Linked DNA regions of Diceros bicornis minor. The protein of the gene in region 1 purifies or fractionates together with the protein of each later gene. This does not show direct contact. Links are inferred from orthologs where the notes say so. Each region holds a gene or a part of one and is shown in the gene's direction. Other genes may lie near its edges. The genes, in order: MGRN1 and MC1R.

What was found.
Region 2: the proteins of MGRN1 (region 1) and MC1R purify together in Homo sapiens (affinity purification with western blotting; 3 studies listed by BioGRID). This does not show direct contact. The link is inferred for Diceros bicornis minor from reciprocal best matches to the Homo sapiens genes MGRN1 and MC1R.

Annotation. Positions count from the first base shown.
Region 1 is NC_080765.1:43,953,290-43,968,508, reverse strand, and holds the start of MGRN1 (E3 ubiquitin-protein ligase MGRN1), read left to right. Parts: upstream 1-8,103; 5' UTR 8,104-8,195; coding exon 8,196-8,283; intron 8,284-15,219. Other genes in the region: UBALD1 (UBA-like domain-containing protein 1), read right to left, coding at 2,419-2,538. UniProt on the Homo sapiens protein: E3 ubiquitin-protein ligase. Mediates monoubiquitination at multiple sites of TSG101 in the presence of UBE2D1, but not of UBE2G1, nor UBE2H. Plays a role in the regulation of endosome-to-lysosome trafficking.
Region 2 is NC_080771.1:38,236,899-38,251,250, forward strand, and holds MC1R (melanocyte-stimulating hormone receptor), read left to right. Parts: upstream 1-7,371; 5' UTR 7,372-7,874; coding exon 7,875-8,825; 3' UTR 8,826-8,860; downstream 8,861-14,352. Other genes in the region: ribosome quality control complex subunit TCF25, read left to right, coding at 468-547, 2,371-2,443, 2,764-2,922; TUBB3 (tubulin beta-3 chain), read left to right, coding at 12,132-12,188. UniProt on the Homo sapiens protein: Receptor for MSH (alpha, beta and gamma) and ACTH. The activity of this receptor is mediated by G proteins which activate adenylate cyclase.

The DNA of each region.
Region 1 (15,219 bases):
TGGCTCCCAGGGCTTGCCCCGGGGGCTTTGTTATTTTATTAAACTAAATTCAAATGAATTATTCTGGGAATTTCCTGCTGGAGAAGCCCTACGCCAGTGTCCCCAGAGAGGGATCTGGGAGCTGGGGGGGAAACGGAGTGCTGGTCTCTAAGCACCTCCTCATGATTCCCCCCAGGGGCCCCAAGGGACACACCCAAACCATTCCTTCCCCAACAGCAGCTCCAAAGGCCACCTTGAGTGAGGAGTCCAGTGAGAAGAGCCTGCCCTTCTCCTGCAGTTTTAAAGCCCCACCCTTTAAAGCACACAGGTCCACTCCCCCTGCAGCCTTCCGCACCCATTAACACCTGAATCACAGAGAATATGACCCCAAAACAGGGCCTTTGGCTGGGTTAGTCCTCAGCCCTTGTATGCTGCCAGCCAGCGGGGGAGGGCATGGACAACAGGATTCCATGAACCCCTCACTCTCTCCCACGCAGGGACCTAAGGTTTCGGGGTTCATAACCCATTTTCACCTTAAGTGAGCCTCCCTAGTATCCTCCATTTTACAGATGGCAAAACTGAGGCTCAGGGAGCCCAGGGCACAGGATTCCCACCCCGGGGGCCACCAGAGCCCCCAAGTCTGCAGGCTGTTCCTGCCCCTCCTGGGGACAGAGTTTTTCCCCAGGCATGTCAAACCTCAACTCTACATTTTCAGTTCCTGGGACCAAGGACACCAACCTGTGCTACCTGAGCGATGGCCTGGCTGGTGCCAGGCTCTGTGGGCTGGGCTGAGAGTGCCGCTTCCCACCAGACACCTGCCTGCCCGGCCCCAGGCAGGGAGGCCATGTCTGCAGATGTGGGACTCAAGCAAACTGCCATGAATGTGGTTTTGCAAGTTTTGCCACATCCAGCCCTTCAGACAAACTGGCTGATTAGGGAGCTTCCTGCAGGGTGGGGCTGCCAGCCTGGGGGATGGCGGGGCTGGAGCTGGCCATTCACTCCTTAGAGGTCCACTCAAACCCCCAAGGTACAGAGGAGGAAACTGAGACCAGAGGAGAAAGAGACTGCCCAAAGAGACAGAGCAGCCTCCCATCTTGAGGTGGGAGGACCACACAGGGCCGCTGGTCTCCGCTAAGATCTCTGGTAGAAAAGAATACAAGGATTCCTCTGAGTGGACAGGCCACTGCCTCCTCCAGGCTGTCCGAACTGGCGATCTCCATCCCACCCCCCAGGAAGCTGAGCCCCAGAGTGCCCTGGCTCCTGGTACCTCCTGCAGGCACAAACACTTTCCCTGGGATGGCTCCCCACCGGTAAAACCGGCTTCTGGGCCCCCGCTGCGCAAAGACACTACAGACCGGCTGGGGCTGTGACCTTACACCTGTGAGGGGTGGGGCTCAGGGAGCTCTGGCCTCATCTCTGGATACCACCCTGAGTTATTTATGGGGCCAGTTGAGTTAGGGAAGCCAGGTGGCCTCTTGGCAGCACAAGCCGTGGGCACTAGAGCTCTACGGGTCAGGGAGGCCTGGAGAGTGGGGGCCAGACTGGGGCAGCCCCACCTCCTGCCCAGCTGGCTGAAAGCTACTGAACCGTGTACACCACTTCGTGCACCGTGCGGGAAAAGTCCCCTGCCAGCACGAGGAGGGAACCCGGACACGGCTCTGGAGCGGAGTACACAGATGCACAGCCGGAGCTGTAGTGTGGGGCTCCAACACACCACCGGTACACTCGTCTGTGCAAACTCGTGGGCACCATCTGCAGAACGGCGACGTGTGTGTACTCGGAACGCACACACGCCGCACCCGCGGCCCGGGTGCACTGCGTGTTTACACACACGCCAACATGCCCACACGTAGCGCGGCGCGTGCGTAAATACAAATGCACATGTACGTGAACACACCGGCACGCAGACCCTCAGATCCACACGCTCGCGGCGGCTGCGCCCTCGGGCCCCGGGACCCCTCATCCCCACCCCGCGGCACCCTAGGTGGGGACGGCGCAGGCCCAGCTCGGCCCAGGCCTGGGGCGTCCTCCTTCCGGCCGCCCGACTGTCCGTCCGGGCCGCTGCGCCACCCCGCCCTGGCCGTTACCCGAACAAAAGGGGGGGGCGGCCGCATCCCGACCGCTTGGGGACTCAGGGAGCGGGGAATCGAGAGGGCAGGGACCGGTCGCCCCTCCTGCCCACCCCACGCGGGCAGCGTTTCCGGGGGCCCCGTAGACGCGGCCGCGCCGCCGGGCCCGACCCGCACGCCGCGTGTGCGCGCCGGAGCCCGGACGCGGGGGCGCGCGGCCGCCGGGACACCCGGCCGAGTGCGCGGGCCCGACCTGGCTCCGGCGGAGCGCGCACCGGCACGTGTCCACACCAGCCGGCACGCGCGGCCACGCGGGACGGACCCCCGCGCCGGCCCCCCCGGCCCGGCCCAGCCCGGCCCGGCCGCGCACCTCGAACTGCCAGTGGGCCGCCTGCAGCAGCTGCTTCGCCTGGTCGGCCGCGCAGCCCGCCGTCAGCACGAACTGGTTGATCATGACCTGGTGCTTGAGCTCGTCCATGTTCACGGACATGGCGCCGCCGCCGCGCTGCCCCCCGGCCGCCCGCCCGCCGTGCTCCTCCGCCTCACGCGTCCACCATTAGCGAGCCGGCTCCGGCTAATACAAATATTTACTGTGCGGCTCTGACTCACCGAGCCTCGCCTCGCGCGGCCGCGCGGCACCCTGGGAGTTGTAGTCCCGCCACTTCCGCCGCGCCGGGCCGAGCGGGCGAGCTGTCGCCGGCAGGGCTGGGGAGAGGGCGTGTCTGAAGCGTGAGGCCCACTGTGTGCGGAGCCGGGCCGCACGTGCCCAGGCCCGAGACGAGAGCTGGGGACGTCCTGGTCGCTCCCGCGGCTCTGGGGGCACCTGCGCCCCTGCCTGGCACTGATGAGGGTCAGCAGGCGGGGGCCACAGACTACATGGGCGCAAACGCCGGCTACAGGGGTCTTTGCCGAGACCCCGGGACCTCGAACCCCAGTGTGGTAGGCATCCCTCTGTGTTGAGTGGGTGCACCCTTGGAGAGGGGCCCTAGGAGTTTTGGCACAAATCGGAAGCACTAGGACGCAAGGCCTTGAAAGCCTGGCACACAGTAGACGCCAATAAATACTCGCTCAGTGAATGAATGAATGAATGAATCTGCCCTTTAGGATTCTGCTCAATGTCACCGCTCAATGTCACCGCCTCCAGGAAGCCTTCCGGTCTCCCCAACGCCTCGAGCACAAGCTCACTTCGCCCACTCGTGATGCAAGTGTTACCACCTCCACCTCGACTGGCTCTCGGCCAGGCGCACAGTAGGCCCCAGGAAGGTCTGGGGAAGGGATGGCGCCCGGGACAGGCAGACGAGGCCGGCAGGTTCTGGCGCGTCAGGGTCCCTTCCCCGTGGTGCTCCCACTTTCCCACGCAAAATCCCGTGCGCTTTGCCGGAAATCTCGGTTTTGGGAAGGCGGGCGCCAGGACCGCGCGGAGCCAGTTCCGGCGCAGCCCTGAACTCCTATTCCCAGAATGCCCCGGTTTATTTGCATCGTTCGGTCTCAAATGACGTCAAGTGAGTGAGGCCGCACCTCGGCCAATGGACGGCCGCAGAGTGTTAGGACCTGGCCATATAAGGTAAACAAAGCTGGTCGCCCAATGAAGCGGCGGCGGGGGCGGGCACTGGGTCGAGGCGGGCGGGGGCGCGTCACGTGGCGGGCGGGGGCGGGGCTGGAGAGCAAGGGGGTGGGGCGTTGCGGGCTGTGTTTACAGTCCCGCACGCGCCGCTTCCGGTTGATGTCGCGGGTAGGAGAGACTCAGAACCGGAATCGGGGCGCCGGGGTGGGGAACCGGGCCGAGTTTTGGCTCAGTCAACCCCGCTCTGAATGACCTTGTCCCGGTTCCTTGCGCTCTCTGGGCCCGAGTTTCATTCGTTGAGTGACTGTTCATTGTCCCCTCACTCCGTGCCTGTCTCTGACCTGGACGAGAGCAAACCCGAGACCTGTCGGCTGGTGGCGGGGCTGGGGTGGGGGTGTGTGTCACAAATCCCAAGGACAGATATAAGATTGCAAGTGTGGAGCGTGCACTCGGGAAGCAGGCACAGGCCCTGGAGGTGGTGGGTTAAAGGCCGTTGAGGGGTTTTAACAGATTTGATCCGTTGTCCGCATTAGGATTACTGTGGCTGCCGCAGTGTGGAGACTAGATGGTGGCGGAGGGGTCCTTTTCGGATCAGGCCGTGTTCTAGGTGTGTCTGGTTCCAAGGGAGTCCGCGCCTGCTCAGCGCCTCGCCTGCAGAATTGGACTGAATGAAGGGAAGTGTCCCACACTGGGGGCTGGGGGAGGGCCTTCAATGTTCTCTGGGGAGCCCTTCCTGGGTCCCTCAACCCTTCCAGGGATTCTGGCTTGGGTTAGTGGAAAGAGGATGTGGGGGACTGGTCGACAAAGTCTGAAAGGTCGCAAGATGTCGGGGTTGGGTGGAGGCTGAGTCACCAGGATAGCTTCTGGGAGGGAAGCTTGGCACAGTGAGACTGCTTAGTGGCCCCTGAGGGCTAGAGTTGGGAGCTTGGCCCTTTGACAGAGAGAGGACTCCCAGTGTCCCCTTCCAGGTGGGCACCTCAGCCCTTGCAGAAGTTGCCTGTCCACTTGGGAAATAAGGTTTTGGCCTCTTCTGCTGCGTGAGGATCACTCAGGATCCACCACTTTTTGCAAACCTGGATGGTGCTAGGAGATTTCTGCTTTTACTAAGAAGGGCCCCTCACCTGCGCAAAGCATCACAAGCATGAATTAATGTGGGCAAAGTGCTCGGCCCGGGGTAGGCAGCTCTGAGTATGGACCACTATCGCTGTTACCACTGGGACAGCAACAGGGCATGGTGGAAGGTGAGCAGGTTCTGGAGCCTGGCTGTCAGTCGTGACTCCCACACCTAATGGCTCTGGTGGCTGGCAGGTACTTTCCGGCTCTGAGCTTGTTTCCTCATTTGTAGAACAAGGTAAGAGCGAGGAGCTCTCCCAGGACTGCTGTGGAGGATTAATGGCTGGGAGGTGCTCAGCATGGGCCTGGCACTCAGGGCACCATTTCTTGCCCTTGCCTCTTTGCCTCCATCTGGACCACTCTAGGGGGCCCAATCCCCATTTTACAGATAAGGAAACTGAGGCTGGAATTGGACCTTACACTCTTGCAGGTGTTCAGAGCCAGTGGAGAAGAGCAGGCACCCAGTGGGCCAGCAGGGTGTGTTTCTGGCAAGGGAGAGTGGGCGCTGTCCTGGCAGGGCCCACTAGGGGCTTTTCTTGCTCAGGGAGGCAGGAAGTACCTTCACCCCTTCCCCCACCCTCTTCCAGGCACCTCTCAGGTACCTGCCTAGGCTTGCCCAGCCCAGAAGGAGCTCTTCCAGGCCAGCCAGCTGGCTGGGGTGGGGCAGATGGGGCTGGCAGGAGTGAAGGTCACTTTTCTGGCCCCTGTGGCCCCCCATCAGCCTTGTTTTCCCCAAGGGCTGCAGGGAAGGGAAAAACAACCTTGTTTTCAGGCAGGATCAGCCTGGCTAGAGAGTGGACTTTGGATTTCTTAGCAGGCTTGGATGGGGCCTGACAGCTGGGGCCAGTAGATGGGGGGAAGGGGGATAAAAGGCATTTCTGAAAGGCAATGCCCTCATCTTACCTGGGGTCCAGGGAGATAGAGGGCTTTGCCAAAGTTGGCATAGCCAGTCAATGGAGGGCCCAGGGCCCTGGCCTTTCCAGCACCCACTGGCCACCTTCTCCCCGCCCCCTTTCATCACTCCATGGGTGTGAGTGTTTGTCAGACAGCCACTGGGCGCTCAGCTCTGGGAGCGTAAGAATGAATAGGTGAGGAGCCCGCCCCCTCAGGAGGAGAAGTCTAGACTCAAGGGACTCACACCAGGAAGCCAGTGCCCAGGGTCTTCCTTTATGTTTCAAAGCACCCAGTGCTGGCTGACTGATGGGCCTTGAGATCTGGCCACTTTTGACCTCTGTTCCTCTACTCTTCCCCTTACTTGATTCCAGCCAAACTGGCCTTTGAGCTCCTGGATCATACTCATCTCTTTGCCACCTCTGGGCCTTTGCACATCATGAGGGACTGGCTTACTCCCTCAGAGTTTGCCTGGTTGGCTCTTCTATTTCAAGTCCTGGCTTAAATGTCATCTCCTCAGAGAAGCCTTTCCTGACTTCTCTATCAATAGGAGGTCTCTCCTATTATTTCATTACACCTCAATCCATTCCCCCAGAGCACCCACCACATTTTGTTTTTATACGCTTGTTCACCTCTTTAGTGTCTTTCCTCACTAGCCTGCATGCTCCAGGTCTAGTGTTCCACCATTTGATCCCTGTTGCCTGGCTCATTGCCTGTCACATAGTAGCTGCATGATAAACATTTGCTGAATAAATAAATGAATCAGCCAAGATGTTGGTAGCAGAACTAGTACCAAATTAGAAAGAGCCTGTTTCCCTTTCTCCAGATAGGGCGTGGATAAGCACAGAAAAATACACTCCAAGTCCAAAGCTCTATTAAGAGGAATGTTTAATTAATCAAATATCCAGCCTGTGGAAACAACTGCCCTGGTCCAGGGTCCATAGGGAGGACAGGCTCTTAGGGTTATTTTTCAGTGGGAACATCAGGGGCCTCAGGACTCTCCCTCCCTCCCCCAAACAGGGAAGCCACTAAATTGAATGCAGTGTTGGTTTATGTATGTGTGTATCTATACATACGTTAGGTGATTTAACAGAAAGAAATTTAAAGTAAGGAAAGAAAGATCACACGGGGTGGGGCTGTCTTCACGCCCATCTGGGGGCAAGGGACATGAAATCTGGCACATTGGAGAATTCCTGTCTCTGGGGTGGCAGGGGAGTGTGTTGGTAAAAGGAGTGGCCTGGTTCAAATTCCAGCTTCATTAACACTTACCTACTATGCAACCTGAGTGGAGCACTTCACCTCTCCCAGCCTCACTATCCTCTTCTGTAAATTGGGAATGAAAATAGAACCTAACGTAGTAGGTGCTCAGTAAAAGAGGATTTTGGTTGTGGGGCAGAGATTTAATCATGCTCCTCCAAGACCAGGACTCTCCCTCATAATCACCCAAGTCCTTCACCTCTTTTCTTAGTTTGGGCTTCCCAGGTCCCCTGACAATAGCCCCTGGAAGGGTGTGGGACTCATTTTAACGTGGACTGTGGTAAATTTACCATTTGAGACTCCTAGCCAGCCGCTGCCCTCTCTAGCTGCATTCTTGATACAGCAGGGTTGACTTGAGAAGTCACTTTCTTCACTGAAACCCAGTTTCTCAACTGAAAAGTAGGTAAAAACAGATCCCCACTTGGCCTGCTTACAGAGTTTTGTGTGAGTCAAAAGCCAGGAAAGTACATTGCAACCTGCGAGGCTTTAATCCTGACCCTAATTCTAGCCAGCTTGCCTTTAGCATCTTATATGCGGCCCTCACTTCTTTGTGTCTCAGTTTCCCTGACTGTAAAATGGGGAGAGGCCTACTGCCTCTGTGTGTGTGTATGTGGAGGGGGGGCTGTAAAATTATGTCTTCAAAGTAATTGTACTGGACGTGGAGCCTAAGAGATGCCTTGAGTTCCAGAAAAGGCTAAAAAAATGTGCTTCTCCAGGTAAGCTTGGATGCCAACCCGGCTCTTTCTGGGTGGCAGGTAAAGGTGTGCCCTCTGCTGGCCGAGGCAGGAGATAAACCCTGGGAAGTGGGGAGAAACACGGTGGCTCAGGGAGATATTTCAGAGAGGGGGGTAAATGGAAGGCGTTGGGTTCCTAAAAGGGTCTATGTATGAACAAGCTGTTAGGAGGCTAAAGAGTTACGATGTTAGTGCGGTGCTTGGAATGCCGAGGGAAGGACAATTTGCGATGCGGTTGATGGTTCCTCCCCTCTGGGTTCAGGTCCGTTTGGTTTGTCCCGGAGCGCTTGTCAACACCTTCAGAGGGCCCGGGCGAGGAGCATCCTGGGAAATGTTGTTTCTAGGCGGGCTTCCTGCGCCGCAGCCGGGCGCCCTCGGCGGCGAGGGGACTCCATTTCCCAAGGTGCCTCGGGAGCGGGGGGCGGAGGGCCGCCGTGGCGTCGGGCCAGGGGCAGAACGGGTGGGGGCTCCGAGGCCGAGGCGCCCGCGGCCGTGGGCCATCGTCCGTGCGGCCTGGTCCGGGCCATGTCCGCGTGAGGACGCTGCCGCCGCCCACCTCCCTGGCCCCGGCCCGGCACGCCGCGAACCATGGGCTCCATCCTGAGCCGCCGCATCGCGGGCGTGGAGGACATCGACATCCAGGCGAACTCGGCATATCGCTACCCACCGAAGTCCGGTGAGCGGCGGCCCCGGGCATGGAGGGAGAGGCGCGGGCCGGAACGCGGCTCCGGCGGCGGGCGCGGGGACAGGGCGCGCCCGCGCGGGCACTCCGCGGAGGGTGGCGTGGGGGCTCTGCTCGGCCCGCGGCCCTCCCTGCCGCCTTTCTGCCTGGGGCTCCGCGCGCCCTCGACCCGGACTCCGGGGCGGAGGTGAGGCCCTCGGCTGACTGCCTCGTCCCGGCTAACTGACCTTGGGTCAGTCACTTCGCCCCTGCGCGCCTCAGCTCCCTTGTCTGCGCAGTGGGGAGACTCTCAGTAGGAAACTCCTAGGGCCAGGGTGAGGTGCCAGCCACGACGCTGGCGAGGGGTTGGATGTGCCCGGCGCGTGGCTTGTGCTTACAAAGTGGTCGTTGTCAAAAAGATTGACGTCACACCATCGCCAGTTTTGGCTTTCTTTGGTGGCTTGGTGTGAAGACCCCGCCACTGGTTCTGGACACTCTCCATCCCATCTAGACAGAGGCTTAGCTCCTGTGACCTCCTGGCGTGTGGATGATGGGTGGGTGGTGGGAGGAGTGCGACTGGGCCCAAGGATACGATTATAATCTGTGGGAGAGAGGCTAGGAGTCCTTGCTGGAGAACAGGAGAATGGTTGGAGGGGACCTTCCAGGCTTTCTGGTCTCCTTTTTTGTGGCTTGGAGACCTGAGCCACTGGGGAGGAAGTGACTTTCCCAAGGTCTCAGAGCTGCGTGGAAGCACATTTGGGACCAGGACCAGGACCCCGACGCCCAGATGAGTTGTTCCCACTCTGTTCTGCTGCCTCTAATGATGTGTGTGGCCTGACCCAGAACTTTAGCTCCTGTTCCTCACTCTCCATCGCCTCATCTGGTCATTTTCTATGCAAAGGAGGGAAGAGGATAAGGGTTTTGGACGTCATGGGGGAATTTCAGATTGGCTCCTCTCTCATCCTGGCTTCTGAAGCATCTGTTCTGATGTTCTGGTCTTCTAGGCCTCGCAGTTGGCCTGCCAGCATCCACTACGCCAGGCTTCCTCTGAGTGTGGTCCAGGACCACCTGCTCCCATCTGTGGGGAAGCTTGTAAAACATGCGTTTCCCAGGCCTGGCCTCGGACCTGCTGGGGTCCAGGAACCCCCATTTAAAACCTATTCCCCAGGTGAGTCTGATGTCCACTCAAGTTTGGAACTGCTTTGCCCTGGTTTTGGAAGAGGAAAGATGAGTGTCTGGGGCTACAGGAAACAAAGGAGGTGGAGACTACCATGCTCTTGGGGATGCCGACTGGCCGACCATGCTACCTTGCTAATCAGTCAGGACACTCTTTCCCACTGAGCCTTGGCTTGCTTTCAGAATCCATTAACAAACACCTCAGTTAGCCACGACTAATGAATTGGGGCTGGCACCCAGGTGAATGCCACGGGCCACCTTGATTTTGCTGCAGGTGACAGCAGTGCTCTCCTGGGCCTGTCCAGTCCAAAGGCTGTCCTCTCTGTGTCCTCGTCCCTTGGCCACCTTGCTCAGGGATGGTGAGTTGGAGGCAGAAGGGACCTTAGCAGTACTTCAGCATGTTTCTGCAAGGTCAACTGGGCACTGCAGGGGGTCTGAGAGGATTTTAGGGGGTGCCCCCATGGACTCGTCAATCACTTTATGAGAAAGTTGTTCTCTTTCCATGTCTCTGTCAATTTTGTTGATTATATCAGAGAGAATCGTTGGGTGTCAGTTTTTTTGAACACCCCTGTAATGCTGTCCAATTTTTTTCCAGCTTTATTGAGGTGTAGTTGACACATAGTATTGTGGAAGTTTAAGGTGTGCAGCATGATGATTTGATATATGTATATATTGGGAAATGATTATCACAATACGGTTAGTTAACACATTCATCACCTCACAGCTACCTTTTTTTTTTTTGTGGTGAGAACTTTTAAGATCTGTCAGAACTTTCCGCATGCACTGCAACAGTACCTAGCTCAAATTTAATAACATTTACTTTGTTTTCATCGTATTTATTTATTTATTTATTTATTTTTTGTGAGGCAGATCAGCCCTGAGCTAACATCCATGCCAATCCTCCTCTTTTTGCTGAGGAAGACTGGCCCTGGGCTAACATCCGTGCCCATCTTCCTCTGCTTTTATATGGGACGCCGCCACAGCATGGCCTGAGAAGTGGTACATCCGTGTGCGCCCGGGATCCGAACCCGGGCCACCAGCAGCGGAGCACGCACGTAACCGCTACACCACGGGACCGGCCCCAGTACTTGTTTATTTTATTCCTAACAGCTTTATTGAGGTATAATTTGTGTGCCACACAACTTATCCATTGTAAACATATGATTTGGTGATTTTTAGTAAATTTGTAGAATTGTGCAGCCATCAGCACAGTTTTAGACATTTCTATCATCCCCCCGAATTTCCTTGTACTTGTTTGCAGTCAGTCCCTACCCCTGCTCCATCACTAATCTGCTTTCTGTCTTTAAAATTTGCCCTTTCTGGACGTTTCATATAAATGGAATCATACAACATGGAGTCTTTTTGTGTCTGGCTTCTTTCACTCAGTGTGTTTTTGAGGTTCATCCATGTTTTAGCACGTGTCTGTACTTTATCGTAAGGATGTAGTACATTTTGTTTATCTCTTTACCAGTTAAGGAACATTTGGGTCCACTTCTTGGCTCTTATGAATAATGCTGCTACACACATTCACGTGGCCCTGTTCAGTTCTCTTGGGTGTACACCTAGGAGGGGAACTGCTGGGTCATGTGGTAACTCTGTGTTTAACCTTTTGAGGAACTTTCAGACTGTTTTCCATAGTGGCTGCCTCATTTTACGTTTGTTCCCACCAGCAGTGTATGAGGGTTCCGATTTCTCCACATCTTTGCCAATATTTATTATTGTCTGTCTTTTTGATTATCGCCATGCTAGTAGGTGTGAAGTATCTCACTGTGGTTTTGATTTGCATTTTCCTGATGACTGATGATGTTGAACATCTTTTCCTGTGCTTATTAGCCATTTGTATATCATGTGTGTGTGTGAGAAATGTCTGTTTGTCTTCTATTTGATTTTTAAAGCTTGGATTGTCTGTCATCTTATTGAGTTGTGAGAGTTCTTTATGTATTCTGGATACAGCTCCTTTATCAGTTCTGTGATTTGCAAATATTTTCTCCCAGTCTGTGGCTTATCTTTTCATTTTCTTGATGGTATCTTTTGAGTAGCAAAAGTTTTAAATTTTGGTGAAGTTCAATTTATCAGTTTTTTCTTTTGATGGTTAATGTTTTTGGAGTTATATCTAAGAGATCTTTGCCTAGCCCAAGGTCACAAAGATTTTCTCCTATGTTTTTTCTAGAAGTTTTATAATTTTAGCTCATACATTTAGGTCTGTGAACGATTTTGAGTTAATTTTTTTCATGTATGGTTTGAGGTAAATATCTAAGGTCATTTTTTTTGCATATGGATTGTTATTTATTTCAACACCATTTGTTGAAAAGACTATGCTTTTCCCATCAAATCGCCTGTGCACCTTTGTCAAACCTCAGTTGACTATAAATGTGAGGGTTTATTTCTGCATTCCCTTGCCCTGCAGTCCCTTGCCCCAGTCACACAGCTGGCCGGTCCCCAGCTGGGCTCTTAAAGAGAAGGCTGTGTCCCACATGCAGAAGAGAGCCAGAGCACGGTGGGTGCCCACTCAGGGGGCCTGGCCCTGGGCAGCTGCTGCTACGGTTATTCCTCCTGCTGCTCTTGTTACTGTTGTGTGTCTCAGAGCGATGCCGGCCGCCCTGCCCTGGTGTTGAGGGAGGTCATGCTGGGACCAGATCACCCAAGAGAAGTGTCAGAAGGAGGGGCCATCGGCCCTGTGACCCACCAGCCCCGGGAGGGGGACTATGCCCAAGACCTAAACCTTTGCATATCAGGTGCGTGTGCTTTCTGAGCATGTTCACTGCCATTATCTTATTGGAGCTTTGCCGTGTCCTTGTGACACCAGACTTTTGTCCTCTCTGGTGGAGGAACTAGAAATCAAACTGAGCCCTTTGTCGCCCAGCACCTGGGCCTGGCACACCGTAGGCATTTAGTAGATGCTTATGCAGCATCATTACTGCAGAAAGCAGACCTGCTCTCTCTAGTGTACAAGCTGCTCAGACTGGGTTGCATCTTATCCATGGGGTGTCAGGCGGGGGTCTGAGGACTCCTGGGTCTGCTGCCATGTGATGGATGTCCTAGACTTGCTGCGGGTGCTTTTGTGTTGATGGCAGTCTAGAAATGTCTGTGAACGCAGCCGGCGACTCATGCTCCACACTTGTGTTGGGTTTACCCTTTCCAGAGTAAGGCTTTGCCGACTCTGATTTACTTGGCTCCTGAAGGAAAGAACCGAGGCAGGTGTTCTAGACGAGGGACAACATTCTGTGTCACTGAGGGTGTCCTCTGTCACTGGGGGCATTCTGAGTCCGTGGGCCATCACTGTCCCAAGAGTGTGAGACCCACGCGTTGGTGGCATTGGGATGGGGAGGTCAGGACCAAGGGGCTCCACCTGCACACAGGGATTTCCCCCCACCCCCCGTGCAAAGACCTGCACCGTCACCGCTGGCACCGTGAGCAGATTCAGCTTCCCCAAGTGTCGCCTGTGCCAGTCACATCAGAACTAGTTTTGTGCTTCTGCTCATGGTAACTTGGTTTGGATTTTATCATTGTAGGAGCTGTACAAATAAGCTGTATTTTCCCGGCTTCCGTTGCTATATTTTGGGTAAAAACAGCAACAAAACAACTGTTAAGTTGGCCGTGGGGGGCTGGGCGGCTGAGAAGCTGTTTCCTGAAGCAGCAGCTGAGGGGGCGTGGCTTTAGGGGCCTGCTGGTGGCACTGGGGCTCTGTGGCCACTGGGAGCTGAGGTGTGTGGGGCCTTGATGTTGGAGTGTCACCTGTCGTCAGGGTTTGAGAGGGCCCGGAGCTCTGTGTGTTCGTCTCTGAGGTCCCCGCTTCGGTCACTCAGTTCCATGTGTGTCAGGGCGCGATGACTCTGGGGACCTTTCATAGTTTTCTGGGAATTGTTGAGAAACTGTCCCTTTCTGATGACTCGAAAATCACCTGGCTCTAAGTCGCCTCCTGCCCGCCTCGCCCTCCCTGGGCTCTGTGGAACATTCCCCTGCTGGATGATTCATGCTGAAACGTAATAAAACCTCTCTCGGCCCTTGGAACTTGTGCTCTCTGCAGCCCACACAGCCCGCATTCCAGTTGAGGAAAGCCCGAGCTCGGGCGGGTCTGGTCTGGTGGCCAGTGGGCCCTTTACCCTGGGCCGGGTGGTGGCTGCTGCTGTCCACAGGCCGCCATGGGGCTGAGGGCCTGGCTGCCCGGGAGAAAAGGGGCGTGTGCATGTGTGCGTGTGTTTTCTTCCTCGCAGCTGGGGTGGACTCGACAGTGTGTACGACACACCCTTTCACAAGCATGGGCGGGGAAGTCGAAGATCAGTTTAGCACTGTGAAGACAAACACGCTGCGCACAGTCCTTTGTCCCTTTCTACCCTCAGCCTGTAGTGGTGTGATGGGAGGAGCACTGGATTCTGAGTCCTGAGGCCGAGTCTGGCCCCGGCTCTGCCAATAACATACTGTGGCCTTGAGCCAGTTTTCTTGCTCTTGGGTCCCCGTTTCCCCAGCTGCACCCGTGTTAACTTCTGGATCCCCAGGCCTCTTGCCATTCTGACTCTGAGAGTCCATGTGAGCGGGCAGGGAGGGACCAAGCCCTGGCCCTGGCCCAACCGAGGTTGTGTTTTTCAGTGGACTCGCAAGTTTCCTCGTGAACATCCTGGACTTCCTGGATGACCCCGGCGGGCAGAGACCACTGCTGCCTGCCTCACTTCCTAAACCCAGTGCTGCTGGGCCAGACATTTGCACGGGGCCATGTTCCATTGGGCATTTCCCGTGTGGTCATGTACAGGCATCTGGCCTCACATTTCTTTCTTGTCCCATAAAATGAAGGGCGATGGTGTCACATACACCACCCCTGCAGCACCTGACTTGGGGGCTTAGTAAATAACTGTGAAATTGTTCAGCTCTGCCAACTGCCCCCGTGGCTGCCCAGCTCCTCAGAGGTGGGGGGAACCAGGCTCAGCCCTGGCCTGTGCCCTGAGCGGGGGTGACCATCTCCCCAGGATGGTGTCGGAGGAGGAATGAGTGAGCAGTGGTGCCCCTCTGCTCTTAGCAGAAAAGCCGATGGGTGGAACAGCGTGGGAGAGCGGTCATTTGCTCTCTAGTAAGAAATTAGTTGGCTTGCTTTCTCATAGACGAAGGTGAGGAAGCCAGAGGCTTGTGAAATGACTGACATTGGACGTCTGTCTAGCTCTGTGTCTGAAAGAAGGCCTAAGGCCAGGTAGAAAGAACTCCATTTTCTCAGTCCTTTCATCTGGCTCCATCTCGACTTGGGCCTTCCCCCTTGGTCCTGGGCGCTGCGCATCTGCAGAGCCAGCCTCCCGAGGTGAGAGACCACTGTGCTGGCTCTGGCTGTTCTGATAATGCAGCTCTCTGTTTCCCGGATCTCCTGTCCCATGTGATCTCCGTGAATGACCGACCGCTGGGTGCCTTCAGGGGGAATCAAAAGAAGGAATTGTATTCAGTTCAGTGCTTTAAAAAATGTGTGTGTATATACACACAGATATATTTAAAATTGAAGTGTAACACATTTAAAAAATGTGCACATCATAAGTGTACCGCTTGATGAATGATCACGTTGAAGAAATAGAATGGTAGCCGTCCCAGAAGCCCCGTGGTGCCCCTTCCCCATCTCTGCCTCCCTCCCTGGGAAACGGCCTCCTGACTCCATTGGATGTGTTTTGCCTTGTGAAAGATGACAGGAGTGGAGCCATATTAAAATAGAGCCGGAGCAGCCATTTCAGAGGAATTGCCTTGCACGTCTTGTTTTCTTTATCTTCCAAACTGGAGCAAACCGCCAGCCTTCCAAGAAGTCAG
Region 2 (14,352 bases), on another chromosome or scaffold:
TGTGCAGAGGCTCTTCCCCTTGCAGCCTGGGTTCAGTACTTGGCATGTTGAGAGGCGGAGCCGTGCCCATGCTGTCTGTGGACTTACAGAGGCTCCGAGCGGTGACCAGCAGCTCAGGCCCCGCAGCACCGAAGGGGAGAGCCTGGCGTTCTGGCGAAGGTCACGGTGTGTGGGCGGCGATCCGTGGTTCTATCATGTCCCCACCACATGCCCACTCTATCTACGGGTGTCGTAACCCTCTGAGTGGGCAGAGTGAGTGTCCTGGTGGAAGAAAGGCTGTTCCACCCCCTCACCCAACATGTCTTAGTAGAGTGAACACAGCCTTGCAGCCAAGGACCATTTCTGTCAGACTTACCGACTCCAGAAAGGTCCAGTCCAGATGGGAATCAGCTCGAGACTGCTGGGAGGAGGGCAGAGGCTCACCAGCAGTGCTCTGTGGTATCTCCGTTCTGTGTCCCTTTCTGAAGGATGTGACCACACAGTCTGTGATGGGCTTTGACCCTCTGCCTCCTTTGGACACCATCTACTCCTACGTCAGACCAGAGAGGTACCTCTCCGCCCCCGCTGTGCTCCTTTGCTTATACGGCGCTGAGGTCAGTGCTCCGGGGCTCCCTGGGACTCAGACACAGGCCTCAGAGAGCAGTGTGATCTGGGGCTGTGTTCTTTCACTTATTTGTCTAAGGTAGGAGCATTTCTGTCAGGTTCTGTAGCAGGTGTTGGAGATGTAAGATACCACCTCTGCCCTTGTGGAGCGCAAAGTGCAGTGGGGAAAATAGACATTGATTATAGAATCTAGAAGTAAACGTAGAAAGGAAAACTGCAGTAAGAAACTGCTGGGAAAGAGTGGTGGATAAGACTCGGAGAAGAAGAGATGGTTACACTGAAACATGAAGGAAGAATGTGCCTTAACCACATAAAGAGGGTGGAAGGGTTGCTGGCATTCCAGCAGAAGAATCAGCATGTGCAAAGGCCCTGTGCAAGGCACAGAGCACAAGGTACAGTCAGAGAACTGAAGGAATGCCCATGTGGCTGGCCAAGAGAATAGGGCAGTGGGAGCACAGCAAAGCCTGAGTCTGCAGGCTGCCAGTGGAGGTGTGGATGGCTTTCATAGTTAGATCATGAAAAAGCTTCTTTTTTCCTTTGTTTCTGGTCTTTAATGCTGAGTAACTGCCTTACCTAGAACACATCACCACAAAGCCATAGATCTGGAAGAGTCCCAGACCCTTTCCCATTTAAGGGAGCACGTGCTTTCTAGACATCAGGAGAACACATTTTGTAGAATGAAGTTCTTTCCTCCCCATCCCCACCCCCCATTTTCAAGCATTTATTCATTCATTTTCATTGAAGTGTAGTTGACGTACAATATTACATTAGTTTCAGGTGTACGACATAGTGATTCAACATTTCTTTGCATTACGAAATGATCACCACAACAAGTCTAGTAACCGTCTATCACTGTGCAAATTTGTTACATTGTTGACTATATTCCCTGTGCTGTACATTACATCCCTGTGACTTATTTATTTTATAACTGGAGTTTGTACTTCTTAATCCCCTTTGCCTCTTCCACCCAGCCCCCACCCCCTCCCTCTGGTGACCACCAGTTTGTCCTTTGTATCTATGAGTTTGTTTCTGTTTTGTTCGTTTGTTTTTTAGATTCCACATATAAGTGAAATCTTACGGTGTTTGTCTTTTTCTGCATTTTTTTCTCACTAAGTTGTATTATAGAAGTTGGATTGCGTGTTCACAGGGAAGTAGTTCCCAGTTAAATTCTCCAATAGATTAAGAGGAAAATTATTAATTATTATTGTCAGTGGGTTCACAAAAAGCTGACATGCTAGACATTGTGGCGCTGAGGGCTGGTTGCAGGACTGCTGACTCTGAGCTTTGTCTGCTGTGCGCTCTGTAGGCCATCAGCTTCCAGGCCTCCTTGACTGTCTAGTGACGAGGAGGGGCTTCGCTTCACAGGCCCTAGAATCTTCTCTCTGTATAGGACCAGTTCATCTTCCCACCACTCCTAAGTGCTGAAGAACACTTGGAAACTACACCTTTTCTTAAAAGCAAGGCACCTGCCCAGTGGCAGATACGTAGCTTGGCTGTGGTGGGCCAGGACCTGAAAGGCCAGGCCCCCACTCTGTTAAGGCCTGAGCAGTCTCCTCAGTTGCCTTTGGGTGCCCACAGCCCACCCCAAGCTGATCAGAGTCTTGGCTGCCCACCTGTCTGTGGGAGCCCAGGGCCGCAGCTCAGCTCCTCCCCATCTCCCCAGCTGCTGCTTGGGGCTGCCTTCCTGGAACCCTGCCAAGATGGGGAGGGGACACAGAAGTATCGGTTCAGCTTCATTTTCTGACCTTTCTTGATTTTCTTTTCCAGGCTAAGTCCTGTCAGCCACGGAAACACGATCGCCCTCTTCTTTAGGTCGTTATTGCCAAATTACACCATGGAGGTATGTTGAGCATATCTTGGCTCTCCCTGTTGAATGGGTTCAGGCAAGTCCGTTTTGGCCCCAGAGCCTACTGGGGCCAGCACTGCAGCAGCCCAGGGGCACCCAGGGGCGTGCCTGCCCGAGCCTGTAGCTGCAACTTGAGCTAAAGCCCCTCGAGTCAGCACGGCTCCTTGATCCACTCTGGGCCTGGCCTTGTTAGACGCGTGTGTTTGGTTTTTAGGAGCTTCCTCTCCTTGACAGGGTCCTGGGTAAGGTGGGGTGGGAGCTCTGGGCCCGGGGGCCCAGGACAGCCCTTGCTCAGATGCATCTCGTTGCTGCAGGGGGAGAGGCCAGAGGATGGAGGGGCCGGGGTTCTGAACCATAACCAGGGCTTGAACAGGCTGATGCTGGCTGTGCGAGACATGATGGCCAACTTCCACTTCCACGACCTGGAGGCACCTCGCGAGGACAACCCCGAGGGAGATGGGGAGTGGGACTGAGTCGGCACAGATGCCCGCCCCAACGCTGTACAATTATGTTCCTGATTTCTGTTCTGGTCTGAATTGGCCAGTTCCCTGAAGTAGAAATACTGATGTGTTGTCCGCCTGCCTCTTCTGTTTCTCCCATAAACATGATGGGTTATGTTCTGTGCGACGTGAGCTCTCCTTTCCCGGGGCTGGGGTCTGTGCCCAGTGCAAGGCAGGCAGGTCCCAGATCTGCACAGCTCCCCGAGGTTTCCCAGACGAGAACGTGACCCACAATCACACACCGAGCCCAAGCCCTAGCCAAGTCCTCCCTCCAGCCACCCTTCCCTCCAGAATTTGGGGCACAGGGGTAGAGAAGGGGTCTCACAGGTCTCTAGTGCAACATCTCTGCTGAACGCCATGGGGTGTGCTTGCAGTCGGACCCTGGAACAGGCTGGCCCAGGGCTGGAGGGGCTGACACCGGGTCCTCACGCTGGGCACCAAAGACACAGAATCCGTCCAGTCTGACACAGTTGTTTCAGTGGAAAACTCCAGGGCAGTGCCGAGGCAGAGGGGAGGCCGGAGAGGTGGGCTTTGGAAAGGATGTCCTGGCAGTTCTGGGGGATGCACATGGCAGAGATTAGGGGGCATTTGATCCGGGGGTGAATGGAGCATGGGGGCAAGGCTCGTCGGCTGGGGTGGGTCCTGGCACACTTGGTTGACAGCTCAGAACCCCTCGGGGCTGCCTATGACTCAGGAGCCTGTTTGGTTCTGGAAAGATCCAGGATACCAAGGTTGTGAGCTGCCCGAGGTGTCCTGTCCAGCAGGCACCCTCCTGGCCCTGACCTCCACCCCGGGAGGCAGCAGACATGGGTTGGGAGGAGACGCTGTATATGTGCTTTGGGGTAGAATCTGGGCCCCAGGGCGGTCATCTGTCGATGTCTACCCGAGTCCTGGTCCATCGGCCTGTCTCCCAGAAGTCCCCAACGGCGTCCTGGTCATTGATGTGGAGTCACCTACTGGGGAGACCTGTGAAGTCATCCTTTCAGCAGATCTCAACTGAGGGGCTCCCGGTGTTTGGGAATCAACAGACCCTGTGTTTCAAACACCCATGGCAAGGGTGCCCCTGCAGACACGGTGAAGTCTGTCTGTCTTTCTCACCCACACCTCATTCCGTGCCACCACAGTAAATTGGTGGGAGGATCCACACCCAGCTCCAGGGGTCAAGTATGACTGAGATAATCCAAGCCTGTCTTGGGTCTACTGTCCCCCACTGGAGTGGCCTGTGATCAGCTTCAGCCAGGAAAACAGGAGTCTGCTGGAGGTCTTCTGGGAAAGGGTTTGTTCTCTGAAAACAATAGGTAAGCGAGGAGAGCGTGGCATCTTGCATCTTCCAGCCTTAAGTGCATCCAGGTAGGGATGTGATGTCTGGAGCTGCAGCAGCCATCCAACCAGGCAGGAGTCAATGAACTTTAAAATGAAGAGCCAGTGTCCTTGGGATAGTGCAGCAGAAAGAGGCTGGGCCCAGCCTGTGATGAAACTGCTCACCTCCGGCCCTGCTGTCCCAAAAGGTCATTAAATCGTCAGTGCTCAGCCATGCTGGTCATATCAGGTCATGTTTTTAGTGGAGATGAGGACAACCAGGTCCCTCCCAGCGGAACACTGGCTGTAAAGGCTTGGCTTGCCACTCAGTGTCCAGGCAAGGGTAAACCAGCTCCTCCAGGCCCGTGCTGCCCATGGGCAGGATGGCTAATGGGTTGTGCCCTTCCCCACGGAGTCAGGCCCCACCTCAGGGTCTTCAGCGCAGACACCACAAGGTGGGCACACAAACCACCCCCCTCCCCGAGTTCAAAGGAAGCTAGACGGCCCTTGCAAGACAGCGTGACCCAGCTTTGGGCTGGACCTTCCTGAGATCCCACTCGACGAGAGCCAGGAGGGGCAGGCTGCACCCCCGCATGGCTGCTCACGGGGCTGTGTGCCTTCTGGCTGGCTCTGGGAGACCTCTGTGAAGGAAGCAGGGGCTGGCCTGGGCCTTCTGGTCAGGCAGTCACCCCCACCTCCCTGGTGTGGCCATGGCTGGATGTAGGCACCCCCCCCCCGCCTGCTCTGCAGTGAGAGGCTTTTCACACCCCACCTCCCCCACAGAGCTTGCTCACGCGTTGAACGCTCATGTATTGTGGACCTACGGTGTGCCTGCACTGTTCTTAGTGCTGGGGACACGAGTGCACAAGACCAAGTGGGTTCCTGTCTCAGCCTCCCCACGTGTGGGTCCAGCACATGGTCTCGGTGGCATCTGCTCTGAGGGGACAATTGTGTCCACCGCCTGTCTCCTGGCTGTTCCTCACTTCAGTTTCTCCCAGGTGTACTGGAGATGGAGTTGACATAATTGGCCTATGGAATCTGTGATTTCATTTAGACCCTTTCCCCATAACCATAACTCCTCACAAAGTTGACTTTTTCCAGCTCAGCCATGTCTGCTGTCTCACTCCCATGGAGTCCCCAGCAGGCACCTCCAGATGAAGAGTCGTGAGGCCTCACCAGGAAGAGGGCTGCGGTCGCCTGCCAAAGGCTACCCGGTTCTCACGCCCTTTGAAGTCTCAGGCTGGGCAGGGGGGCTGGGGTCAGGCATGTCCGTCTCAAAGGCTTCATTTATGGAGCTAGGAATACTAACATCCCTGAAATGTGATGACACAGAAGCTGGGGGCAGGGCACTGCTCACCCAGCAGACTCTTGGTCGGTGCCCCAGAGGTGGAAGGTGGTCCCAGGCAGTGGACAGCTGCAGGGGGAGTCCAGACTCATGTGGCAGGGACGCTGGGGCTTCAGGGCAGCCACCTGGGCCTGCCACTGCTCTGCCCCATGATCATGGCCTGGGACCCTCTGCTTCCTGTGGGGCTCTCCACCAGGAGGAGCAAGTGAGGGGGCAAAGTCCACGGGGGGCAAAAAACTGGGAGGGAGTGTGTGCTCTGTGGGCCCATCCTGGGCCTGGTTCCTGGGGAGCTTGGGCAAGGCCATCCTTCCACCCTCCTCTAGGTGGGGAGTGGGGGGCTCGTGCACTGCCGGGAGCAGGCAGACGGGTCTACCAGTTTGGAAAGTGGTTTGGTTGAATCTGCCAAAGCTGAAGATATGCCTCTGACCACCCCCTCCCAATCCTAGTGTCACCCAGCGGACATGTCCACCACCAAAATACGGGACGAGAATGCCCAGCAGCACTGTTGGTAAGGGGAGACACAGCACCCGAACACCCAGTGTGTCCATCCGTTACCAGCTGCGGCACAGTCTGGGAAGGAGAGGGTTCGCACTACACGCAGCTGCAAGGACATCTCAGTGCTGAGCCCCCGTGTATGAAGTTCCAAAAGAGGCAAATTAACCTCGTGGGCTCCCTGGGGCAGGAAGAGGGGTTCTGGTGCCATTCATGTTTTATTCACTGATTGATCTGGGCGCTGCTTTCCAGGCTGTGTTTAGGTTGGGGCATCACCAACCTGCATACTTAGAATCTGTGCTCTCTCATGTACTGACGTACTTCAATAAAAAGCACAAACCAGGCAAAGGGAGGAAGAGCTTTGTAAGTTGTGCAGACACGAGGAATGACTCACGCAAGTGCGTGTAACGTGGGCGTGCGGGCACTGCCTGTCGGAGGCCATCTGGTAGTCAGGTGGATGTGGGCCAGATTTTAACAGGCAGATCACAGATACACACGATTTCCAGACACCGAGACCTCCTTCGGAACTCCCTCCCAGCTCCGCCTCCACCATGGGCTTGTGTCTGACTTTGAACAAGCCACTTGCCTTTCTTGCTGCCTCGTTTTCCCCACCTGTCAATGGGAAGAACAGTTCCTTCCCCCCACCTCCGCCTTCAAAGGAGGGTTTGTCCTCAGTCTCAAGTGAGAAAGTGCTGGGAGTGAGGCCAGCCCGGTGCCCGGGGACATTCCCCACGCTGCTTGGCTCGCACAGTGCCCCACGTGGCTGGAGACAGAGGTCTGCCCTTAAAGTGGCTCCTGGCTTGGCCAGTGGTGTCTTTGTGCAGAGGACATGGGGCCGTCAGGGAAGGACTGCAGCTCTGTCCCTGCCCCTCCCCCAGGAGGAGCGTGAGCGAGGTCTCCTTCAGCCGCTGTGCCAGGGTGCCCTCCAGCAGTGCTCAGCGAAGGGGGTGGGGGTCTTTGGGGGCAGGGTTGCCCTCAGTGAGCATCTAACATTGGGTGGGGGGTGAGGGCTGAGGGCTGAGGGCAGACAGTCAACAGCCAGTGACTGTTCCTGAGGCAGAGCAGCTTCAGGCAGGCTAGGGGATCAGGGGCAGCTTCAAGGAGGACGTTGTGTTTGCCACAGGCCTGGAGGAGGCTTAGAAGTCTGGGGGCAGGTCCAGAGGTGGCCCCACAGGCACAGACACCTGGAGTGGAGGCCTGGCTGGGAATGCTGGTTGGCTGAGCACAGGCGAAGCTGGGAGCACGAAGGGGAGAGTCCCGCTGTGCCCAGGAGTCTGGAGGCCCTGGGTACCATTTGCGCCACCTGGCGGCAGGCGGGGTGCCGTGGGCACTTTCTGACGATGCCTTCCCAGGCACACGCGCATCATGTGGCCGCCCTCAGGAGGAGGGACTCCACGGAAGACTTTAAAGATGCGGAGAAAGGCTCCATTCTTTCCAGGACCCCAGCCCACTCCGGGTCTGGGGAGGCAGGAGGCCCCACAGACCAGAAGGCAGCAAGAGCATACAGATGTGTGACCTGAGCGACAGCGCCTCCAGGGAAGAGGTGGTGAGGTGGGCTGAGGACCCAGAGGGAGATGCCAGAGCCCAGAGGGTTGGTGCCACAGAGCTTGGGGTCCTCACTGGGAAGTGACCAGACTGGTGGAGAGGCCGAGCTCTCTGGCTAGGCCATGCTTGGGCCAACCTATGTCCAGCCACGGAGAGGGTGAGCCTGAGGTTGGCCCTGGGGGTGGCACCATGAGCTGAGTAGGACGCCTGCAGAGTGAGGACCCTTCCTGCTCCCAGAGGGACTATGTCTGTGCAGGGCCCCCCGAGGAGGCTGCTGGGCTCCCTCAACTCCACCCCCGCAGCCACCCCCCTCCTCAGGCTGGCCACCAACCAGACGGGGCCCAGGTGCCTGGAGGTGTCCATTCCTGAGGGGCTCTTCCTCAGCCTGGGGCTGGTGAGCCTGGTGGAGAATGTGCTGGTGGTGGCCGCCATCGCCAAGAACCGCAACCTGCACTCTCCCATGTACTGCTTCATCTGCTGCCTGGCCGTGTCCGACCTGCTGGTGAGCATGAGCAACGTGCTGGAGACAGCTGTCCTGCTGCTGCTGGAGGCCGGCGCCCTGGCCACCCGGGCCTCGGTGGTGCAGCAGCTGGACAATGTCATTGACGCGCTCACCTGCGGCTCCATGGTGTCCAGCCTCTCCTTCCTGGGCGCCATCGCCGTGGACCGCTACATCTCCATCTTCTATGCGCTGCGGTACCACAGCATCGTGACGCTGCCCCGGGCGTGGCGTGTCATCACGGCCATCTGGGTGGCTAGTGTCCTCTCCAGCACCCTCTTCATCGCTTACCACAACCACACAGCCGTCCTGCTCTGTCTTGTCAGCTTCTTTGTGGCCATGCTGGCGCTCATGGCAGTGCTGTATGTGCACATGCTCACCCGGGCGTGCCAGCATGCCCAGGGAATCGCTCGGCTCCACAAGAGGCAGCACCCCCTGCACCAGGGCTTTGGCCTCAAGGGCGCTGCCACCCTCACCATCCTGCTGGGCATTTTCTTCCTCTGCTGGGGCCCCTTCTTCCTGCACCTCTCGCTCATCATCTTCTGCCCTCAACACCCCACCTGTGGCTGCGTCTTCAAGAACTTCAACCTCTTCCTCACCCTCATCATCTGCAATGCCATCGTTGACCCCCTCATCTATGCCTTCCGCAGCCAGGAGCTTCGAAAGACACTCCAAGAGGTGCTACTCTGCTCCTGATGAGGGGAAGGTAGCCTGCGGGCCAAGGCCAGAGGGCTGGGCAGAGGGGGGTGGTGACATCGTGGGGCTCGATTCCTGTGTGACCAGGGCAGTCACTTGCCAAAGAGGGTGGCCTAGACGATCTCTGAAGGTGTGGACGCGTGGAGCCTCTGGGGCAGAGGGAGGAATAGCATGAATCTCCAGGAGCAATTGTGGGGAATGGAGGAGGCTGGGGAGACGGTGGGGCCATGGGCACCAGGGGCAGATCCCGGGCTCCTGGACAGACACTTGGCCCACTCCTGGAGAGCTTCACCTCCACCCAGAGGCCAGGCAAGAACCCACCAGCACCCACCTTTGCTGCCAGCTCAGGGACTTATGCCCCTGCCCACCCACTGGGATGTGAAGTGTCTGTGTTGGCAGGGCAACAAGAGCCGATCAGAACTCTGGCTCCCGACGCAGGCCTCAGGAGACGGGACTGTGTGACCAGCAAGACCCCACCTCGAAAGGCTGCTTCAGGAAGAAGTGAGCTCCTGCCTGGGGCAGAGGGACAGTATTAGCCAGCACCACAGCAGGGGTGGGGGGCAGGTCGGGGGGTGCTCATCTCTTCTGACTCAGTGGTAACTGGAGAGGTAGGGCTCAGCCCATCTGTCTGTACCACACATGGCCAGCAGACAGCGCTGGCCAACGCCTGCTCAGGCTGAGGCAGAGGCCATCAGTCCAAATCATTGACCGGCAGCCAGGGTCTCTGGGCCCGGAAGCAGTCTGGTAATAAATGCTGTGCTTAGTGCAGCCTCATCTTGATCTGCCTCAGCTCCTTCCAGAAGTTGCTTGAAGCTTGAAGGTGGAGGAGCAGGGGCAGGGCAAGAGCAGGGATGGGAGTGATGAGGGGGGAGAAGTAAGACCCACAAACCAGCCAGAAAGCATGGCTGGCCTGTGTAGGTGAGGACCACCCAGGAGAGAGCCTGGAGACCTCAGTGGCACCTACTCTGACCATGAGTCTTTGCTTTCTCTCTGTGGTACAAACCCCAGCCCAGAGCAACTATGTGAGGAGCAGCAGCTGCCCTGCCCCAGTCACCTCCATGGTGGCAAGACTCAGGCACTGTCCAGGCTGCCCTAGCTGCAGCAGAAGCAGGACCACTGTGACCCCTGTGTGACCTTGGCCAGAGCATGCGCCTCCTCTGCGTCTGCTTTGAGGTGCCCTGAGGGGTCTACAGTGCAAGGGGTGCCGGGGGCTGGAGTCTGCTCTCCTCCAGCACTGCCCTCCTGGGAGGGGGTCAGTGCTCAGCCAGCCCTGGGAGGTATTTGAGGCAAGACCCCCCCCGAATGGGGTGAGGCTGTCCAGGGGCCGCAGGGGGTGTCCAGACCCAAGTCCTGGGGGAGTGGGTAGCTGGGGTGGACCATGCTGTCTGGGGGGGGGCCGGGAGCCCTGGGCTCTCGCTGGGGAGCCACCTGGTTTCTTCCACAGTCACTGAACACACAGTCGACCTCTTTCTTGGTACAGGCTCAGTGGAGGTGAAAGTGATTGTATCAGCCGACTCCAAGGCAGGTCTAGTAATGCCTGCAGCTTCCTGTAGTCCCCTAGCAGTCCCCCCCAGCTCTGCTCCAGCCAGTCCCCACTCCACGCACACTGGCAGCTCCAGCCCTGACTGCTGGCCTCCGGGCTGGGAGCCGGTTCCCGGCAGGGCCAGACTTTGCTGGGAGACAGGACGGTGAGTCAGCCTTGAGCCCGGCACCAGAGCCCTCTGGGGATGGAGGGGGCCTGGCCTGGTGCCATCCCACAGGGAGGCAGGGCGGGTGATGGGTCCTGGCCTACAAGATGCTGCAAAGCTTCTTTGCTCAGACAGGGAGGTGCAGCCAGATCCAGAGAAGAGCCGAATGCTCACCAAGGACCCCCTGAACGGGGACAGGGAGGGGCCCCAGGTGGCCAGAAGCCAACCACAGAAAGCCACATCATGGACACATTGTGGGGGAGGGGCATCTCTTGAGAACAAAAGACCCACTTCTAGACTTGCTGAACTGGGGAGCTTCGGGGGCAAAAGGGGCACATACACAGCCACACCACGCCACCACGCTCCTGAGCACACAGACTGGACACAGGCACGCCCACGGGCTTGTTCAGCCGACTGCTTGTGGAACGTCCATACACTGTGGCTGAGACACTTCCCGGAGGATTTTGTTGCTGAATTATCAGAAGGACCTCATTATAAGGTGGTTTCACTTTAACGTCTGACCCTAGGAGATTATTAAGCCAGTGGTGTATGTGTGTGTGGCACTATGTCCGTACTGCATGTCCATCTCACTCACTCCCTTCTCTCTTTCCCAGTTTTTCACCCTAGAACCCCCACCTTAGGCACATGCCATCTCCCTACATAGCCCCACACACACAGACACTGCATTGCATTGGCCTCACCTGGACCAAGAGTCCAGGAGTACCGGTGACATCAGGGAGTGAGTCAGATAGAAACCACCGGTCACCATCCCCCACCAGTCAATCCCCGGCCTCGTTGTGTCCTTATGACAATTCCTGATACAATATGCATTGAGCAGTGGCTGCCAGCATCCCCACATGCAAGGTCCATGTGGAGTCTTACCGCAGCCCCCTAGGGGAGGAGGGGCAGGTGGCATCCCCCTGCAGAGGACAGTGAAACCAGAGCTGCCACAGTAATGCCCGCTGCTCTCCTATGCCCACAGCCCTTCTGACTCAGATGTTTCTGAGCCCTGCCTCATGCTTGCTTTCTTCTGGGGGCTCACTGGCTGCTGCACCCTTCTCCTGCCTCCCCCACCCCTAAGGGAGCCAGCAGAGCTCAGAGTACCTTATCTGTCCCTTCATGCCACAGACAGGGAGCTGGGAGGCGTCCATCTTGGCCTTTCGGGTTGGTAGATGGGGTTGGTCCCTAAACCGGTGTGGGGAAGAAAGACCCTCCTTGAAAAGCCTTGGGGTGGGGCTGCAGCTGGTGTGGGACCCGAGAGGGCAGGCGGGGCGCGGTCGGAGGGCCAAGGGGACTACTATTGTCCTCCCTGGAGTCCGCCAGCCCCTCCTTTCGGGTGCGCGGGGACCCCGGACTCCGCCCGCGGGGCCCTCAGACCCCGGTGGCGGCGGGAGGAAGCCCCGCATCGCGCGGCCGGGCGGCGATGCGCGGTGCTGATGCTGCAGGGCCGGTGGCGCATTCTGCGGCGGCGACTAGCGATTGGCCGCGCGCGGTGACGCCAGGCCGGCGGCGGGCGGGGCCCCGCCTATAAGAGCGGGCGGCGGGGGCTGCCGACCCTCCGCAGCGAGCCCCGGCCAGTCCGCGCGAGTCCCGCAGCCGCCCGCCACCCGCACCGAGCATGAGGGAGATCGTGCACATCCAGGCCGGCCAGTGCGGCAACCAGATCGGGGCCAAGGTGAGGCCGCGCGCCGCCCCCAAGCGCCGGGCCCCGCGCCCCGCACCCCGCGTCCCCACCCCGAGCCGACCCCGGAGGGAGGGAAGCAGGGAGGCGCCGTGCGCCCTGAGCCGCACTCGCCGCTGAGAAGCCGAGAACAAAGGAACGAGCCGGCCCCGCGCCGGGCGGCCGGGACGCCGGGGTCCCCTCCCTGCCCCTCCCGCCCCGCCTTTCCTCTGCCCTGCCGGTGTTCCCTCGGGCCTGCGGAGCGCAGCGCAGGTCAGGGCTTAGCTCCCTCCGCAGCTGCGCCCTCCTCCACCGGACGAAGCAGGTGCAGCTGGGGGCGCTGTCTGGGTGTGGCCGTCTTTTCTGGGGTCGCAACTCAGCCCTGAGCGAGATGGGAGGGTTGGGCTGGTTTGGGTGGGGCTCCTCCGTCAAAGCCATAATGATTCCCTCTGCCCCCCCGCCCCCAACCCCGGAAAAGGACGCCCTCCAATGCCGCAGAGCCATCCCCATGCCCCCAACCTCGTTCTAGCAACCCTCGGCTTCCTGGCCCCACCCTGTTCCTTTGTTGGGGGAGGAGTTGGGTCCGGACTCAGGGTGACCTTGGTCCAGGACTGGAACCTCCCTTAGCACAGCCCCGCCTGGGCAAACCCCCCGCGGGGTTGGACCGTGCCCACCTCGGAACGGCAGAGTCTGGGGGTTGGGCGTGGCAACAAAGCCGGGCTCCGGGGATGGTTCGCTGCACCGCCGCGCGGCCTCTCCCCTCCATTGTTAGCCCAACTCACAGATGTTGGGACTGAGGCAGGAAGGGGAGGTGGCGTAATCCCCATCCGAACCCAGGAGGCGAGTGTCACGTCCTCAAGTCCGGGTGGCTGTCCTTTGCCCAAGGTCACAAATAAGTGCGAATCCCAGCCGCGCTGCCCTCCGGCGCTCAGTCTCTGCGGTCGCCCAGCGCGGGGCTCAGGCTAGGTGGGGTCTGCTGCCCAGAACAATGCAGGGAGGGGTGGCTTTGTCAGGACCAAGGCCAGGGACCCAGCGCGGGTTGATGTCGGGCTGGTTCCCGGAAGGAGGCGGTGGGAGGAGACGGGTCCTGGAGGGGAAGGGGCCGAGGAAAGGCTTCCTCTGGAGGCTGTTGCCGTGGAAACCAGGCAAGAACAAAAAGCTAATTACAACGGGACTGGGGCAGCCAAGTGGCTGACATGTAAATTGCATCTTCGCTGTAGGGTGGATGCGCCTCGGATGGGGGGAGGCGGTAGCGGGGAGACTCCCTAATCACCGGAGGAGACAGCTGTGCCCGCCCGACGTCGGGGGCTGGGGGAGGGGGAGGCCTGGGGGACGATGGTCTCAAATTAAATCAGGGCTCGTGGGGCAGTCGCTGACAGCTGCCCTGGCCAGGTGGGAGGGGCCCAGGGCTCATTAATGTGGTCACAGGGGCCAGGCCTGCCCTGAACATCTGCTCCTTGGAGGGTCAGGGATCACTGTGCGGAGGGGCACACCCCTGAGTCCCTCCTGGGTCTGGGGGAGTGATGATCCGATTGTGCCCCCTCCTATGGCTGGGCCTAGCACACACCAGGCAAAGGCGGCTCCACACCCGGCTCGGTGGGCGGCGACAGGGCGGAGGCAGCGGCCTGAGTGCTGGACAGTGTCCTCCGCAGAGATTTTTTTCCTGCTTCTCAGCGCTCTGGCCCTTGGGTTTGCTCATTAGTTATTATTCCTTTTGAGTTGATTTTCTTAATTTACGTTTGTTTTTAAAATTAATATCTGATCCTTTTTAACAATTCAAACAAAAGAGAGGTGGATTGCGGGGGGGGGGGGGGGGGGAATCGTTTCTTCCTTTCCCACAGCTGCCCTCTGCGATGACCAATGGAAGGGTTGGGCAGTTTCCTTAGGGCCTCCCTGCCCTGGAAAGTCTCCAGCGACCTAACTGGAAGAAAGTGCTCAAGGCCCCGGGGCCAGGCCCGGTGTGGGGTGTGGGGTGTGGGGGATCTGGCTGCCCAGGAGCTCGGCATCGGCCCTGTGGATGGGCAGTTCCTTGGCCATCTTCGTTCCCCGCTCCCATTCTGGTTGTGGGCTCCCTGGTGGGAGGAGAGCAAACTTCTCCTCCTCATCGCAGCACAGCTGACTGGGATGGGCAGGGGGTGCTCTCCTGCCTACGGGTCCTGGCGTGGTGCCTGGCTCAGCA